Macaca mulatta: one gene and its partners. The protein of the gene in region 3 interacts with the protein of the main gene of each other region in a pairwise test. Links are inferred from orthologs where the notes say so. Each region holds a gene or a part of one and is shown on either strand. Other genes may lie near its edges.

Region 1 (2,382 bases), on a different chromosome or scaffold from region 3:
AGAATGGGATGTTTGTTTTGAATCTTCTGGTACAAACTTGGGAACGTGGCTGTTATTTCAGTTTATGAGCCATAACTTTTCACATCCCGAAACTACAAAAGAGAAAAAGAGCCTTATTAAGTATCATGCTTTCCCAAGACTGCCTTCAAAGAAATATGAATCAGGACAACCTGTGGTCTAAATAATGTCGTCTTAAAACAAGAGTTTCTTTTGACTCTTCTGCTAAAATAGCTTAGAAAAAAGTCTACTTGCAGACATTTGAGAGAGAGAAAGGACAATAAAGTGATTTTCTGAATGGGAATGACAGAGCTCTGGGAAGCCAGCTACCACTGAATCTCACTTAAAGTTTAGAGTTAGAAGGGGTGGTCCCCTCCTTTCACCAATGTGGAAGCTAGGGACCAGCAAGGCGGGGTGCCCACGGCTGCACAGCTAGTTCATATCAGAATTGGGAATGGAAGGCACACTGCCTCCCAGCATAGCAATACATAACCTAGCAAAGGACTTAACACCTATCTCACTGTCAGGTTTTTTAGTATTTTATGATGATGATGATGACTTCTACTAGAAAATAATCTTCATTAAAATTATTAAAGATGGTCACACCTCTATCTCTAAACCTTGTTTATATAAAATGAGCGTATTTGGACTATATGATGGCTAAAGTCTTCTTCCAGCTCTAGAATTCTGCAACTCATTAAAAAGTCACCCACAAAAGTCTACTGAGTTACCCAAGGGTTGCTCCTACCTGCCCAGAGTTCCACCAGCCTGGGTATAGTATTTGTTATAATCTAGTCGTAACAGTAGTTGAGCCAAATCTGAGTTGATCTGATGATTCCGAACACTGGAGAGAATCTTGAATAGGAGTGAAGACTGGCGGCTAAAGCCCTGCAGAGAGAAGGACTCAGCTGTCATTCCACTTCAGCTCACCAACTCTCCATATGGAGGATGGGGGCGGAGGGAGGAGTTTCTTGGAAAAGCCTTGCTCAAAATTCTACAGAACCACCTGGCCTTCCCACATTCCTATTTCTATTAGTTCTTAAAATGACTTGTACCAAATCCATACATGCATGACTTCCTATGAAAGTACTCTTTCACCAGTAGGAATTTAGTAGCTGGTTTCCAGTTAATGTATTTTGTCAAGTACTGGGGTTGGGGAGAACCCGTTTTGATTACAAGCAGATAATTATCTCAGTGAGATAGGGGTTAGTTCAAGGAAGTAAAGAGGGGTAGGATGTGAGGAAGTTAGAACAAAGCCAATGCTTATTTGATGGGCTGAATAAACTATTCAGGACTGAACTATTTTTGAGCACTCTGAGGTAGCACAGTAATTACCTGATTCAAAATCAACTGATACCAACATTTTTATCTTTATATCTTATTTCTGTACGTGTGTGTATTGAGGAAATGCTTTACTGACTCAGAGGAAAGATCATGAATTCTCCATTGACAAAACCACCTCTGTCCTTTCGGCAAGGCTGCATACTTCCAGGCAGACGCACCTTCACGAGAATGCTCAGCTGGGCGGCTCCACGCTCATCCAGTGGGCCTAGGTTCTGACTGACCAGCGAACAAAAACTGTGACAGAGATCTAGGATTTCATTCAGGCAGTGAAACACCTACCCAGGAAACAGAGTTGGCATTAGGAAAAGAAGGAAGGTACGTCCATGAAATTAAAGATTTGGGAGAACAGTCTGATTAATAGCTGACCTCCCAAATCTGAGAGGATAGACACTGTCACTTGCAAGGCCTGCCAGCCCCTCAGACATACAATATGTGTAAAACAAATGCATCCTTTCCTGCGTACACGAGTATTACTCTCTCAGCCCCGCACCAAACCTCCATTCTAGCCACATTTAACTCTTCATTTCTTAGACCCGCAGAGTGTGTTCCTGCCTCTGAGCTGTGAGTGTTGTTCTCTTTGCCTGGGATGCTCTTCTTTTTAATACCAGTTCAAGTCCCACTCTCTCAGTGAAGCACTCCCTTCCCCACTGTAGCCTTTAGTGAACCCCGTTTCTTGCTTCTTTATTATCTGTACTGTTGTCCACTTGGCAATTGTTCAGGCCTCTGTGTTGTTAATGATTTCTGTATGTATATATATGTCTTGTTTTTCCAACTAGATTGTGAGCTCCTTAAGGGCAGAGCCATGAATTATACCTCTTTGTATCCCCAGTGCCTTGCATACAGTAAGCACTCAATAAATATTTAATGATGATGACCTGCTCTGATACTCGGCTTTTCCCTATGGATACATCTATGCCACATAAGGACAGCATCGACCCATCACAGTAGTTCTTGGTTGTTTTCAACCAGCCCTCTGAAATGGCATTTATTAATATATATCTTCCTCTTCCTGGGCAGCAGAAATAGCCCTAAACACCAGAA
Region 2 (3,520 bases), on a different chromosome or scaffold from region 3:
CCCCACGAGTGACCTGCAAGCAGCTGAAGAGGAAGCATGGAGGCTGCTGGCACAAGAGGAGGCCACCATGGATGCAGGGGCACGGCAGAATCCACAGCCAAGGTACCTCCCCGGAACCCTGGGAACTGGCCTGGTTGAGGAGTGGGGTCTTGACTGGGGAATGGGGCTCCCAGAACTCACCATGTTTGGGGGCTTGGTGTGGCTGTGTCCAGCAAGGTCGGTATGGAGCACACTGTAGTTGGTTGACATGAGGCTCAACTGCAGTTGGCCTGTTGCTACTTGACAAAGTTAGCATGGTGGTTGACAGATATTGCAGTTGGCGTGAAGATGGATAATGATGCCTACTGGTTAAAACTGGCACCCACAGCCGGGCACAGTGGCTCACGCCTGTAATCCCAGCACTTTAGGAGGCCAAGGCAGGCAGATCGCTTGAGCTCAGTAGTTCAAGACCAGCCCTTGTAACATGGCAAAAGTCCTTTTCTACCAAAACTACAAATAAATTAGCCGGGTGTGCCCATGTAGTCCCAGCTACTTGGGAGGCTGAGGTGGGAGGAAGCCTTGAGTCTGGGAGGTGGAGGCTGCAGTGAGCTGAGATTGCACCACTGCACTCCAGCCTGGGTGACAGAGTGAGACCCTGGTTTTTTTTTTTTTTTTTTTTTTTTTTTTTTGAGACGGAGTCTGGCTCTGTCGCCCAGGCTGGAGTGCAGTGGCTGGATCTCAGCTCACTGCAAGCTCTGCCTCCCGGGTTTGCGCCATTCTCCTGCCTCAGCCTCCCGAGTAGCTGGGACTACAGGCGCCCGCCACCTCGCCCGGCTATTTTTTTGTATTTTTTAGTAGAGACAGGGTTTCACCGTGTTAGCCAGGATGGTCTCGATCTCCTGACCTCGTGATCTGCCCGTCTCGGCCTCCCAAAGTGCTGGGATTACAGGCTTGAGCCACCGCGCCCGGCCAAGACCCTGGTTTTTGTTTTGTTTTGAGACGAATTTTCACTCTTGTCACCCAGGCTGGAGTCCAATAGTCTGATCTCGGCTCACTGCAACCTCCGCCTCCCAGGTTCAAGCGATTCTCCTGCCTCAGCCTCCCGAGTAGGTGGGATTACAGGCTCCCACTATCATGCCTGGCTAATTTTGAATTTTCAGTAGAGATGGGGTTTCTCCATATTGGTCAGGCTGGTCTCGAACTCCCGACCTCAGGTGATCCACTTGCCTCTGCCTCCCAAAGTGCTGGGATTACAGGCGTGAGGCACCGTGCCCAGCCCCAGCTAATTATTTTATAAAGACGGATTCTCACTCTGTTGCCTATGCTGCTCTCAAACTTCTGGCTTCAAGCAATCCTCCCGCCTCAGCCTCCCAAAGTGCTGGGGTTACAGGCGTGCATCACCACACCTGACCAAAATGTGGTCTTGATGGAAGATGGTGCCTAGTGGGGTACGTTGGTGTGACAGGGGCCACCACAGATGGCAAAGACTCCGTCGTGGCCAGTGAGATGGAAGATGATGGACCCTACCAGGATTGGCATGAAGTTAACCCACCTATGCCTGCCGGTGTTAACATAGGCACATCTTCTGTTTTCTGTAGCCCTGAGGGCAGCAGTGTGGATAAGCCCACACCACAGGAAGTGGCTTTCCAGCTCCGAAGCTATGTCCAGCGTCTCCAGGAGCGCCGTTCTCTAGTGAAGATTCTCTCAGAGCCTGGCCCCACCTTGGCATCCATGCCCACTGTGCCCCGTGCAGAAGCCATGGTACAGGCCATTCTGGGGACCCAGTCTGGCCCAGCTCTTCCCCGACTGGAGAAGACACAAATTCAGCAGGACCTGGTGGCCACAAGGGTACAAATGGGCTGTGGTCACTGTCAGTTTTTCTTGATGGGACAAAATCCTTTACTGAGGTTGGGGGATCAAGGAGCAAAGGAGAATTCTCCTGGGCTGGGTGCAGGCATTGTGAAGGAGAATTGGAACTGGGGTTTTGAGGGATTAATAGGAGTTTGTCTTCTGGGGTTCATTGTCTCAATAGACTACAAATCTGGCTCTCCAAAATGCCCTTCGTATGGGAAGAGATGGGAGCAAAGAACACAGTCTTGGGTTTGTAGCTTGGCATGAAAACCTTGAGGTTCTCAAGCTGGAGAAACTCCAGAAGCTTTGACAGAACTGCTCTATGACCTATGTAAGCTACTTGCCCTCTAGGAAATGCCATTTCTACAGCTGTGGTTTTTTTTTTTTTTTTTGAGACGGAGTCTCGCTCTGTCACCCGGGCTGGAGTGCAGTGGCCGGATCTCAGCTCACTGCAAGTTCCGCCTCCCGGGTTCACGCCATTCTCCTGCCTCAGCCTCCCGAGTAGCTGGGACTACAGTAGCCCGCCACCTCGCCCGGCTACTTTTTTTTTGTTTTGTTTTGTTTTGTTTTGTTTTTTTGTATTTTTTAGTAGAGACGGGGTTTCACCGTGTTAGCCAGGATGGTCTCGATCTCCCGACCTTGTGATCCGCCCATCTCGGCCTCCCAAAGTGCTGGGATTACAGGCTTGAGCCACCGCGCCTGGCCACAGCTGTGGTTTTTATGGGAGGAAGATATTTCCACCTCACAAGAACATGGTGATCCTGGCGAACCCGGTGAAACCCCGTCTCTACTAAAAAATACAAAAAACGGCCGGGCGCGGTGGCTCAAGCCTGTAATCCCAGCACTTTGGGAGGCCGAGACGGGCGGATCACGAGGTCAGGAGTTCGAGACCATCCTGGCTAACACGGTGAAACCCCGTCTCTACTAAAAAGTACAAAAAACTAGCCGGGCGAGGTGGCGGGCGCCTGTAGTCCCAGCTACTCAGGAGGCTGAGGCAGGAGAATGGCGGGAACCCGGGAGGCGGAGCTTGCAGTGAGCTGAGATCTGGCCACTGCACCCCAGCCTGGGTGACAGAGCGAGACTCCGTCTCAAAAAAAAAAAAAAAAAAAAAAAAAAAAATACAAAAAACTAGCTGGGCGAGGTGGCGGGCACCTGTAGTCCCAGCTACTTGGGAGGCTGAGGCAGGAGAATGGCATAAACCCGGGAGGCGGAGCTTGCAGTGAGCTGAGATCCGGCCACTGCACTCCAGCCTGGGTGACAGAGCGAGACCCCGTCTCACCAAAAAAAAAAAAAAAAAAAGAACATGGTGAAGGTCCTAGTTTGTTTTTTGTTTTTTTTTTTTTGAGACAGAGTCTTGCTCTCACCCAGGCTGAAGTGCTGTGGCGCTATCTCGGCTCACTGCAGCCTCTGCCCCCACCGGGTTCAAGTGATTCTCCTGCCTCAGCCTCCTGAGTAGCTGAGATTACAGTTGTGCACCACCACACCAGGCTATTTTTTGTATTTTCTGTGGAGACGGGGTTTCGCCATGTTGGCCAGGCTGGTCTCGAACTCCTGACCTCAGGTAATCCACCCACTTTGGCCTCCCAAAGTGCTGGGATTACAGGCATGAGCCACCGTGCCCAGCCAAAGGTCACAGTTTTTGTCTGAATAGGCCTCAGTGGGTGCCTCTTGGGGCCTCAGTTTCCCTGCA
Region 3 (3,520 bases):
AGGCCCTCAGCACTGCCCACCTGAGCACGCAGGGGCCACCTGGCCAGGCCCCCACCACGCCCTGCCTGCTCCTCAGCACCACAAGCCCCTCGGCCGCCTTGGCTGCCTCCACAGTCTAGCCCCTGCAACCATCAGCTGCACTTCCCACTTCCTGACACTCGAATCTGTCACATCAGCTGAGCCCTGACATTGGGACAGATGCTCTTGCCTATTAAATGTCATCCTAGCCTCTTCAGCTCTCACAGAGACATTTGAACTCCCTAGATACCTTTCATATATAAGCACATGCTTTATTTAAATAATAATGACCTGGCTGGGCTCGGTGGCTCACGCCTGTAATCCCAGCACTTTGGGAGGCCAAGGCGGGTGGATCACAATGTCAGGAGATCGAGACCATCCTGGCTAACACAGTGAAACACCGTCTCTACTAAAAATACAAAAAATTAGTCGGGCGTGCTGGCGGGTGCCTGTAGTCCCAGCTACTCGGGAGGCTGAGGCAGGAGAATGACGTGAACCTGGGAGGTGGAGCTTGCAGTGAGCCGAGATCGCACCACTGCACTCCAGCCTGGGAGACAGCGAGACTCCATCTCAAAAAAAAAAAAAAAAATAGGCCGGGCGCGGTGGCTCAAGCCTGTAATCCCAGCACTTTGGGAGGCCGAGGCGGGTGGATCACGAGGTCAGGAGATCGAGACTATCCTGGCTAACATGGTGAAACCCCGTCTCTACTAAAAATACAAAAAAAAACTAGCCGGGCGTGGTGGCGGGCGCCTGTAGTCTCAGCTACTTGGGAGGCTGAGGCGGGAGAATGGCGTGAACCCGGGAGGTGGAGCTTGCAGTGAGCCGAGATCACGCCACTGCACTCCAGCCTGGGAGACACAGCGAGACTCCGTCTCAAAAAAAAAAAATAAATTAAATAAATAAATAAATAAATAATGATTACCTTAGCCAGGCACAGTGGCCAGTGCCTGTAATCCCAGCTACTTGGGAGGCTGATGCAGGAGGATCACTTAAGCCCAAGAATTTGAGATCAGCCTAGCGAGACCATAGCAAGACCCCACCTCTAAAAAAATTTTTTTATGCCAGGCAAGTTGACTCATGCCTGTAATTCCAGCACTTCGGGAGGCCAAGGCTGGTGGATCACTTGAGGTCAGGAGTTTGAGACCAGCCTGACCAACATGGTGAAACCCTATCTCTACTAAAAATTAAAAAACTAGCCGGGCATGGTGGTGCATGCCTGTAATCCCAGCTATTAGGGAGGCTGAGGCAGGAGAATTGCTTGAACCCAGGATGCGGAGGTTGCAGTGAGTGGAGATCGTACCACTGCACACCAGTCTGGTTAACAACGAGACTCTGTCTCAAAAAAATAAATAAATAATAAAACATTTAAATTTTGTTTTAATGAACTGGGTGTGGTGGTGCACACCTGCAATCCCTGCCTTTGCTCACATCCTTTTCCTTACCTGTGGAAATCTTTCTAGGCTGAATTCAACGGTAATGAATCTTTTGATGCTACCACCTCCTCGAAGCCTTCCTTGTCCTCCCACCTGTCTTTTTATCCCCAGCTGTCATAAAGCGCTTTATTGTTTTTTTTTTAGAGACAGGGTCTTGCTCTGTCGCCCAGGCTGGAGTGCAGTGGTGTGATCATAGCTCACTGCAGCCTGACCTCTTTGGCTCAAGCCATCCTCCTGCCTCAGCTTCCTGAGTAGCTGGGACTACAGGCACACACCACCACACCCAGCTAATAGTGTATTTTTTGTTGAGATGTGGGTCTCGCCATGTTGCCCAGGCTGGCCTTGAACTCCTGGGCTCAAGCAATCCACCCACTTAGACCTTCCAACATTTTGAGAGTATAGGTGGGACACCACGCCTGGCCAAAAAAAATTTTTTTTGGAGATGGGGTCTCACTGTCACTCAGACTGGAGTACAGTGGCAAGATCTCGGCTCACAGCAGCTTGAACCTCCCGGGCTCAAGCAGTCTTCCCACCTCAGCCCCCAAGTAGCTGAGACCACAGGTGCATGCCACTATACCCAGCTAATTTTTTGTATTTTTTGTAGAAACGGGTTTGCCATGTTGCCCAGGGTGATCTCAAACTCCTGAACTCAAATAGTCTGCCCCCTTTGGCCTCCCAAAGTGCAGGGATTACAGGCGTGAACCACCTTGCCCAGTCAAAAACTTTTTTTTTTTTTTTTTTTTTTTGAGATGGAGTCTCGCTCTGTCACCCAGGCTGGAGTGCAGTGGTGCGATCTCAGCTCACTGCAACCTTCGCCTCCTGGGTTGAAGGGATTCTCCTGCCTCAGCCTCCTGAGCTGCTGGGATTACAGGCAACTGCCACCACACCCAGCTAATTTTTGTATTTTTAGTAGAGATGGGTTTCACCATGTTGGCCAGGGTGGTCTTGAACTCCTGACCTCAGGTGATCCACCTGTCTTGGCTTCCCAAAGTGCTGGGATTATAGGCCCTAGCCACTGTGCCTGGCCAAAAAAAAAAAGTTTTTAAAGAAGAAAATAAAAATATCTCACTAGTCAGAGATGTCCACTGCTGAGCTGATATCTATCCTGTAGCCATATCAACATAGATAGAGATGCTTTTATGTTGTGAACCATTTTGATTCGCCTCTTCATTTGGTAACTGTGTTAAGCACCTGCCTGGGGTCAGGCACAGTGAAGCTCTTGCCTCGTGCTGTGTGTGGCTGGGCCCACAGCACAGCGTTAGGCCACCCTGTGCTCAGCCTGCTTGGCTGATGGGTGAGGACAGGCAGAGTGTGTTGCTGGCCATTCAGCGGCAGGGATGTTGCTGCTCCTTGGCCCTCCCAAGCTGCTAGCCTTGGTGCTATTGGAGACCTGAGGGTTGGGAGGGCACCTGCTGGGTCCTCCTCTTGGGCAGAATCATGCGGGCTGGGCCCTGGCAGTGCCTCTCAGGCACCCCTCATTTTGTGCCTCTTTGGGAAGGACAGGTCAGTGGCATAGCGTGGGAGACACTGGTGGATTCGTGCAGCTCCTCAGGGAGTGGCCAGGCGTGATCCTCAGGGTGGGAACCACGCTCTCAGTCCTGCCCTGGGCCCTACAGGAACGCTGGCGGGTGACTGCCGAGCAGTCCAAGGCGGAGTCCATGCAGCGCGCCCTAGAGGAGCAAAGGAAGGTCACGGCCCAGCAGATGGCCATGGAAAGGGCGGAGCTGGAGCGGGCCAAGGTGAGTCAAGCCACTGCACTCAGCCCCTGCCCCTGCCATTATGCCCAGGGACACTCACCCTGTGCCCTCACCCCCCACATCCCAGAGCACCTTGCTGGAGGAGCAGAAGTCTGTCATGCTCAAGTGCGGGGAGGAGCGGCGGCGCCTGGCGGCCGAGTGGGCGGAGTTCTCCGCGCAGCAAAAGCTGAGTAAGGAGCGGGCCGAGCGCGAGGCCGAGCGGGCGCTGCAGGTGGACACCCAGCGGGAGGGCACCCTCATCAGCCTGGCCAAGGTAGGGCCCAGAGCCTCCGGACAGTGGAGGGCCCGGGGTAGCCTGCGCCCCTCCATCTG
Region 4 (2,750 bases), on a different chromosome or scaffold from region 3:
ATTCCCCCAGGACTTTGGGCCTAAAACATCAGTGCTCTTTGGAAATCCTAGTGAAATGGCACTCAGAAACCTTTCTTGCTCTAGGACTGGAAATCTGGGGTTTATTACCAAAGTAATTCAAATTAATGGAATCATAGCAACTGTCCACCTTCGTCTCCCTGGGAATTTGCTGTACTTAGAGTTAACAGTGTTTAGTTATTGGAATTTTTATCACAATAGATGTACACTTCTTAGCTTTGAAATCTTATAGGTATTGAATCTGAGACTGGATATTTGAAATATTATCATATTCTAAATGAATATGTTTCAGACCAAAATACAGGTGAAAATGGAAAAGCTGTCTTCAACTACCAAGGGAATTTGTGAACTAGAAAATTACCATTATGGGGAGGAGACTAAACGACCCCCTCTGTTCCACACTTGGCCTACAACCCATTTCTGTAAGTAGTTCCTTCTCAGTTAACTTTCAGGAGGGTAAAGGTTATTAAGGGCATTTAGTATCGTTTACATCTGGTACTTTAAGAAGCTGACAAGGCTTTGAAATTCAATGCGAAAGTATCTATCGGGAGGAAAAGAGACAGAGGCGCCTTAAAATAAACATTTCTTCTTGGCTTTAATTACCTGGTTATCAGCAGAGTATATTAAACATAATCAGAGACCCGTGAAGCAAGCTGCTGTTATTAGGCCTCTAAAACCAGTGGGACAGAGTGAATTCCACCTCCTCTGTGGAAGCAGAAATCTCTCGTTTTGGGGGGGAAGGGGAGAAAGGGGTTTTTTTGGTTTGTTGAGGTTTTTCTTTTCCTTTTTGTTTTAATTAAAAAACAAATTGAGGTCACTGCAGCCAACCTCATGGAAGATGACTGGGAAAAATGAAAGCCATGACTTTAATAAACTCTAGGAGGTACTTCTTAAAGGGCTATTTTAGCTTTATTAGTTCAAGACAAGGGCTAAGCTGTTTTATGTTGATCTGAGACTTTTTAAATAAGGCAGGAAAGGGGAAAATCACCTGGTGGAATGTGTTTAGTGATATATTGTCAGTTTGAGGGGAATCTCCTACTTATAATCACTGTAGGTCACCTAAGGGTCAGGTAGAAAAGGTTATATATACTTTTTTTGAGACAGAGTCTCGCTCTGTCACGCATGCTGGAGTGTAGTGGTGCAGTCTTGGCTGGAGTGCGGTGGCGCAATCTCAGCTCACCACAAGCTCCGCCTCCCAGATTCACGCCATTCTCCTGCCTCAGCCTTCTGAGCAGCTGGGACTACAGGCGCCCGCCACCATGTCCGGCTAATTTTTCATGTTTTTAGTAGAGACGGGGTTTCACCGTGTTAGCCAGGATGGTCTCGATCTCCTCACCTCGTGATCCACCCACCTCGGCCTCCCAAAGTGCTGGGATTACAGGTGTGAGCCACCGCGCCCGCCCTAGTTTTTGTATTTTTTAGTAGAGACAGGGTTTTGCCATGTTGGCCAGGCTGGTCTCAAACTCCTGACCTCATGTGACCTACCCACTTGGGCCTCCCACAGTGCTGGGATTACAGTCGTGGGCCACCGCGCCTGGCCTATATACGCTTTTATTTCACTCTGCTGACGATGTTATCAAATTGTACTAATCTGTACCAGCTAGAGTGGTAAACTCCATCGGGCCCTTCTTCCTTTCAGTGCTGTTGCTAATTCTGGTTTTTAATTAAGAGCTGTTAAAAATGTAGTTCTTCCTGAGTCAAGACTACATTCTTGAATCACTGCCATTAAGGGACACTCACGTTTCTTTCAGATGAGGTTTCACACAAGCTCTTGGAGATGTACAGGAAGGAGCTGCTCCTGAAGCGCACAGTGGCTAAGGAGCTTGCACACACCAGGGATCCTGACCTCACCCTGAGCTACTTGTCCATGTGGCTGCACCAGCCCTACGTGGAGAGCGACAGCAGGCTGCATCTGGAGAGCATGCTGCTGGAGACGGGCCACCGAGCTCTGTGACATCCTGAGACGGCTGCGGACACTGGCTCCTTCCACTTCTCACCAGGCAGACAGTCTCCTGCCTAGGACCCAGTGCCGCAGGCCTGGATCAGACCTCAGGATCAGACCTTCTTGGGGTCTTCTGGCCAGAGCTTGTCACCAGCCCCATGGCCTCTCCAGGCATGCCCATGTCCACAGCCCGCGGCCAGCCCCATGTGGTGCCGCTCAGCCTCCTCTGCCCCTCCTGGGAACCCGTCACTCGTGGGTGCTTCTGAGTAAAATCAATGAGTTTCTGAGCAGAATGAGTGAGTGATCTGGTTTCTATAAATAAGGCGTGCTTTGTACATTTGTGTAGAAAATCCTTGGTTTAATATTTTCACTTTATGCCTATCTGATTGTTGAAGTTTTTATGAGAATATATTAGTTTTTGGGCCAGGTGCAGTGGCTCACGCCTGTAATCCCAGCACTTTGGGAGGCCGAAGTGGGCAGATCACTTGAGGTTAGGAGTTCGAGTCCAGCCTGGCCAACATACTGAAACCCTGTCTCTACTAAAAATACAAAAATCAACCGGCATGGTGGTACGTGCCTGCAATCCCAGCTACTTGAGAGGCTGAGGCAGAAGAATCGCTTGAATCAGGAGGCAGAGGCTGCTGTGAGCCATTGCAGCCCAACCTGGGTGACAGAGTGAGACTTCATCTTAAATAATAAGATCCCATAGAGTTAAAGTGAAGTTTGACATCATGACAATGAAAATAACCTACGAAAAAATTGCCGCTGTTTGCATACTGGGGACGTGACA
Region 5 (4,211 bases), on a different chromosome or scaffold from region 3:
GAGACACAGTCTCCCTATGTTGCCTAGGCTGGTTTCAAACTCCTTGGTTCAAGGGATGGTCCCACCTTGTCCTCTCAAAGTGTTGGGATTACAGGCGTGGGCCAGCACGCCTAGCCAGAGTTCAACAAATGTTGCAGCCACATGTGGGAGACCAGGACATGCCTCCCCAAAACATGAAGGATTGTGCTAAAGACAAGCAGCAGCAGATTCAGGAAAGCTCTCTACCCTGGCCCTTTGCCTAAAAGTAGGACACAGGTTTACAAAGACAAAAGGTATCCTGTCCCTCCGTCTACCTGGGAGAACGAAGACTACTTTAGACCCCTACAGCCTGGAGATGGTATCAGAGGAATTTACATTAACAAGCTTGACTAACTGGCCTTTGTTTTTTTTTTTTTGTTTTGTTTTTGTTTTTTGCCGTCTCACAAGTTGCCTCCTGGAGAGACTCGAAGTCCTATTTCTTTGTCTTGTAACTTAAAAAAATTACTGTTCTTTGTTGAAGATGCTATAAAAAATGGAATTCAAAGTCACCTCTTCCAGAGCGACTCATTCCCTTCTATTATGAAATATACATGTCAGTAAATCTGTGTTTGTTTTTCTCTTGTTAATTTGTCTTTTGTAACAGGAGTCTCCCCCAACTAAGAACCTATGAGGGCTAAAGAAAATCCCCTACAAATAAAAGGGGCAGAAATGACAAGCTGCGATGAAAGGCCACAAGGATGCTCACACCCGAATCTAAAAAGCGCTTTGTGGGGGCCGCAGCCAAGCATACTTTGGCCAAGAAATTTCTGTGGCTCTAACCTCCTTTGAAAACTGGAGAACCAAGGCCAGGTGGCAGAGGGAGGTGACTGACCCCACCCGGCCCGGCGGCGGCCCCGCACGCGCAAGCCACCCAGAGTGGAGGTGGGAACCAGCGCTCCGCCCCTTCCTCGCTGAAAGGGGCCCCTTTCCCTTTTCCCGGTCCCGCGGTCAGACCTCGTGTGTGACCCTTAAAGCGTAGGCTCCGCCGAGACTGCACCCGGCCTGAGCGGCGAGGGAACAAACTGCGCCCTGAGCAGGCCAGGAAGCCCGGCCCGGGGCAGACGGCCCTCAAGTTTCCTAGTCCGAGCGCAGGGCGGCGCTGTCCTCACCCGCGCGTAACGAGCCGGACGGAGGGCGTTTACCGGTGGAGGAAACCAACCTGTGATACGCGCCTGCAGAGTGCCAGCTCCTCCAGCTCCGCCAAGTAGGTGGGATCCCCTACTTTGCAGAGGAGGAAGCCGTTCAGGCCTCCCTGTGTGCACTTTGCAAAAGCCTCTGCCCTTCCATCTCGAATCCCTTGGCACCGATCGCACTTCCTTCGCCTGGAAATCTGGAGTCGTCTCTCGCGAGACATCCTCCGCCCTGTAGAAGGCCGTTTCGGTTCTTCGTGCGCGGTAGCCGCCCCACTTGCGGGATTCCAAGGCCTGCTTAATCGGGCGCGGGTGTGTCTGGCTGTGGATTCGCCGCCGTCCCACTGGACGCCTGGAGGCTTGAACCGCGCCGCTCCCAGATCCCAGGCTTTGCTCCCACCCCGGCTTCCGCCCACAGTGCTGTACTTCCTCGGACCTCGGCTGTCGGGAGAGCCGGAGGTGAGCGCTCTCGGGAGAGCCCAGCCAATTTTAAAGAGTCCCCCTGAGAAGACTTTGCAGAGGAAAATTTAACTGTGGGTACCCCCTGAGTTTCTGGTGCACCCGGTGTATCAGAGCTTGTGTTGTGCATCAGGACTGGAAAATTGGCAAGGAGTTACTTACGCTCTAATGACTCATATTTTATTGAACTTTTATCATCAGCCAGGATTTGTTCTAAGTACTTTATTGTCACTAACCCATATATCTGTATCTTCACGGCCAAACCGAGGTGATTACTGTTATATCCACTGTGCAGATGAGGAAACTAAACTGGCTTAGAGAAGTGAAGGAGTTCACACCCGCGGGCAGGAGTAGACCACCCTCATTGGTGTCCACACCTCTTTTCTTCAGGACTGAAGAGGCAGTCACTGGAGCTCTGCCTGGGGTGTCTGCACTTATGGAGACCCCCATTCCTCCCTCCCCTCGGTTCCCACCCACTATCCGCCTCAGAGTACCACATGATCTCATCCTACCCTTTACACCACAAGACCCCCAGGACTCCCAGGCGATGCTCTGCTTTAACTCAAGAAATTTTAACCTGGCATTTGGTAATTGAGGTGAGCAAGGATGGAAGAAGAATGTTGATGACCCTTTAGGCTGCAGAGTGAAAAACTTATGCAGAAGTAGAACACGCTAAAGCAGCAATACATTAAAGTCATATAAATATGGCAAGTGCAGTCCCTGGCACATACTAGGTCCTTAACAGGTTTTTCTTGTTGAAGTCATTGCACATATGGTTACAACTAAGGGACACAGGAAGTGATGAGTGCATAAACCTAAAGGAAGGGAGGTTTTTGCATAAACCTAAAGGAAGGGAATAAGAGAAAGGGAACTCCCATGACTCCAACTCCTTTCTGATGCTTGGTGCTGTGGAAATCCCTTGAGCAGGCCTGTGAATTTTGTCTTTTTGCAGATGTTCACACTTCCTCAAAAGGACTTCAGTGCTCCCACCACCTGTCTGGGCCCCACCTGCCTGCAGGACCTGGGCAGTAGCCATGGGGATGATCTGGAAGGAGAATGCTCCAGAAAACTGGACCAGAAGCTGCCAGAGCTCCCTGGAGTGGGTGATTCTGCCATGCTCTCCCCTGATACCTCCTACCTGTCCTCTAGAGGAAGAATGATTAAATGGTTCTGGGATTCCGCTGAGGAGGGCTACAGGACCTACCACATGGATGAGTATGATGAGAACAAGAACCCCAGTGTGAGTGAAGCTCCCCTCCCACTGGCACCCGAGAGGGAACTGCAGGGTGGGGTACCCTACCTTGACCAATAAGGCAGCATCCAGCCTGCTCTTGTGAGGTTGGAGTTACGGTCCTCTGACCTCCAAGAGGGCTTCTGATGTAGCTTAGGGAGGCTCCAGTGTACTGCCTGGATCAGGAAATGGTCCATTTGGAATACAGGGGACCTTGATTTGTGAGGGAGGAATTCAAGAGCCACACGATGTTCTTCTATGGATTCTGACCCATGACCTGTCAACTGTCCAACTTTAGAGCTAGGGCAGAACTAAGGTTCAGGTCGCAACTGTTTTACTTATAGGTTGTTTATTGCTGAGCTAGTTACTTCACTTCCTTGAATCTTAAATTATCTCTAAAATGAAATAATGACACCAGGCATGGTGGTTCACGCCTGTAATCCCAGCACTTTGGGAGGCTGAGGCAGAGGGAACCCTTGAGGCCAGGAGTTTGAGACCAGCCTGGGCCACATAGCAAGACCCCATCACCACAAAAAAATAAAAATAAAAAAATTAGCAGGGTGTGGTGGTGTGCACCTGTGGTCCCAGCTACTGGGGAGGCTGAGGTGGAAGGATTGCTTGAACCTGGAGGTCAATGCTATAGTGAGCCAAGATCACGCCACTGCATTCTAGCCTGGGCAACGGAGTGAGACCCTGTCTCAAAATAACAGGAAACAGGCCGGGCGTGGTGGCTCACGCCTGTAATCCCAGCACTTTGGGAGGCCGAGACGGGTGGATCATGAGGTCAGGAGATCGAGACCATCCTGGCTAACCCAGTGAAACCCCGTCTCTACTAAAAAATACAAAAAACTAGCCGGGCGAAGTGGCGGGCGCCTGTAGTCCCAGCTACTCGGGAGGCTGAGGCAGGAGAATGGCATGGACCCGGGAGGCGGAGTTTGCAGTGAGCTGAGATCCGGCCACTGCACTCCAGCCTCGGCGACAGAGCGAGACTCCGTCTCAAAAAAAAAAAAAAAAAAAAAAAAAAAAAAAAAAAAACAGGAAACAAACAAAAATAAAATAAAATGGGATAATAATACCTGCTGTGTAGAAGAGTCAAGATTAAATGAGAGCAAGTATATGAAGTTTTTAGCACAGTGCTACTCAATAAATGATAGCTGCTATTAATATTTTCTGTCCCCAATATAAGCTATTCTCATAATGCCTTCAGGAGTCAGAAAGCTGTTACGGTAACCCTTTAATAATCCTTATTTGTTGAGCATCTACCATATAGATGTGAACAGAAACAAAGTTCTGATCCTCATAGAGCTCATATTCTAGTTAGGGAGACAGACAGTGAATGGACAGAGAAAAAATATATATACTATATGGTGGTA

The links.
Region 1: the proteins of FBF1 (region 3) and TUBGCP4 interact in a two-hybrid assay, tested with the Homo sapiens proteins (2 studies listed by BioGRID and IntAct). The two-hybrid records come from large-scale screens. The link is inferred for Macaca mulatta from reciprocal best matches to the Homo sapiens genes FBF1 and TUBGCP4.
Region 2: the proteins of FBF1 (region 3) and USHBP1 interact in binary tests that used the Homo sapiens proteins (3 or more experiments, as listed by UniProt). The two-hybrid records come from large-scale screens. The link is inferred for Macaca mulatta from reciprocal best matches to the Homo sapiens genes FBF1 and USHBP1.
Region 4: the proteins of FBF1 (region 3) and CINP interact in binary tests that used the Homo sapiens proteins (3 or more experiments, as listed by UniProt). The two-hybrid records come from large-scale screens. The link is inferred for Macaca mulatta from reciprocal best matches to the Homo sapiens genes FBF1 and CINP.
Region 5: the proteins of FBF1 (region 3) and ACCS interact in a two-hybrid assay, tested with the Homo sapiens proteins (2 studies listed by BioGRID and IntAct). The two-hybrid records come from large-scale screens. The link is inferred for Macaca mulatta from reciprocal best matches to the Homo sapiens genes FBF1 and ACCS.

What each region holds. Positions count from the first base shown.
Region 1 is NC_133412.1:20,787,579-20,789,960, reverse strand, and holds part of TUBGCP4 (gamma-tubulin complex component 4), read right to left. Parts: intron 1,617-2,382; coding exon 1,500-1,616; intron 886-1,499; coding exon 746-885; intron 93-745; coding exon 80-92; 3' UTR 1-79. UniProt on the Homo sapiens protein: Component of the gamma-tubulin ring complex (gTuRC) which mediates microtubule nucleation.
Region 2 is NC_133424.1:17,741,395-17,744,914, reverse strand, and holds part of USHBP1 (harmonin-binding protein USHBP1), read left to right. Parts: coding exon 1-102; intron 103-1,577; coding exon 1,578-1,827; intron 1,828-3,520.
Region 3 is NC_133421.1:85,624,648-85,628,167, reverse strand, and holds part of FBF1 (fas-binding factor 1), read left to right. Parts: intron 1-3,067; coding exon 3,068-3,190; intron 3,191-3,275; coding exon 3,276-3,461; intron 3,462-3,520. UniProt on the Homo sapiens protein: Keratin-binding protein required for epithelial cell polarization. Involved in apical junction complex (AJC) assembly via its interaction with PARD3. Required for ciliogenesis.
Region 4 is NC_133412.1:175,709,903-175,712,652, reverse strand, and holds the end of CINP (cyclin-dependent kinase 2-interacting protein), read left to right. Parts: intron 1-310; coding exon 311-440; intron 441-1,769; coding exon 1,770-1,972; 3' UTR 1,973-2,244; downstream 2,245-2,750. UniProt on the Homo sapiens protein: Component of the DNA replication complex, which interacts with two kinases, CDK2 and CDC7, thereby providing a functional and physical link between CDK2 and CDC7 during firing of the origins of replication.
Region 5 is NC_133419.1:21,530,245-21,534,455, reverse strand, and holds the start of ACCS (1-aminocyclopropane-1-carboxylate synthase-like protein 1), read left to right. Parts: upstream 1-1,410; 5' UTR 1,411-1,607; exon of another isoform or gene 1,608-2,104; coding exon of another isoform or gene 2,105-2,203; intron 2,204-2,559; coding exon 2,560-2,847; intron 2,848-4,211. UniProt on the Homo sapiens protein: Does not catalyze the synthesis of 1-aminocyclopropane-1-carboxylate but is capable of catalyzing the deamination of L-vinylglycine.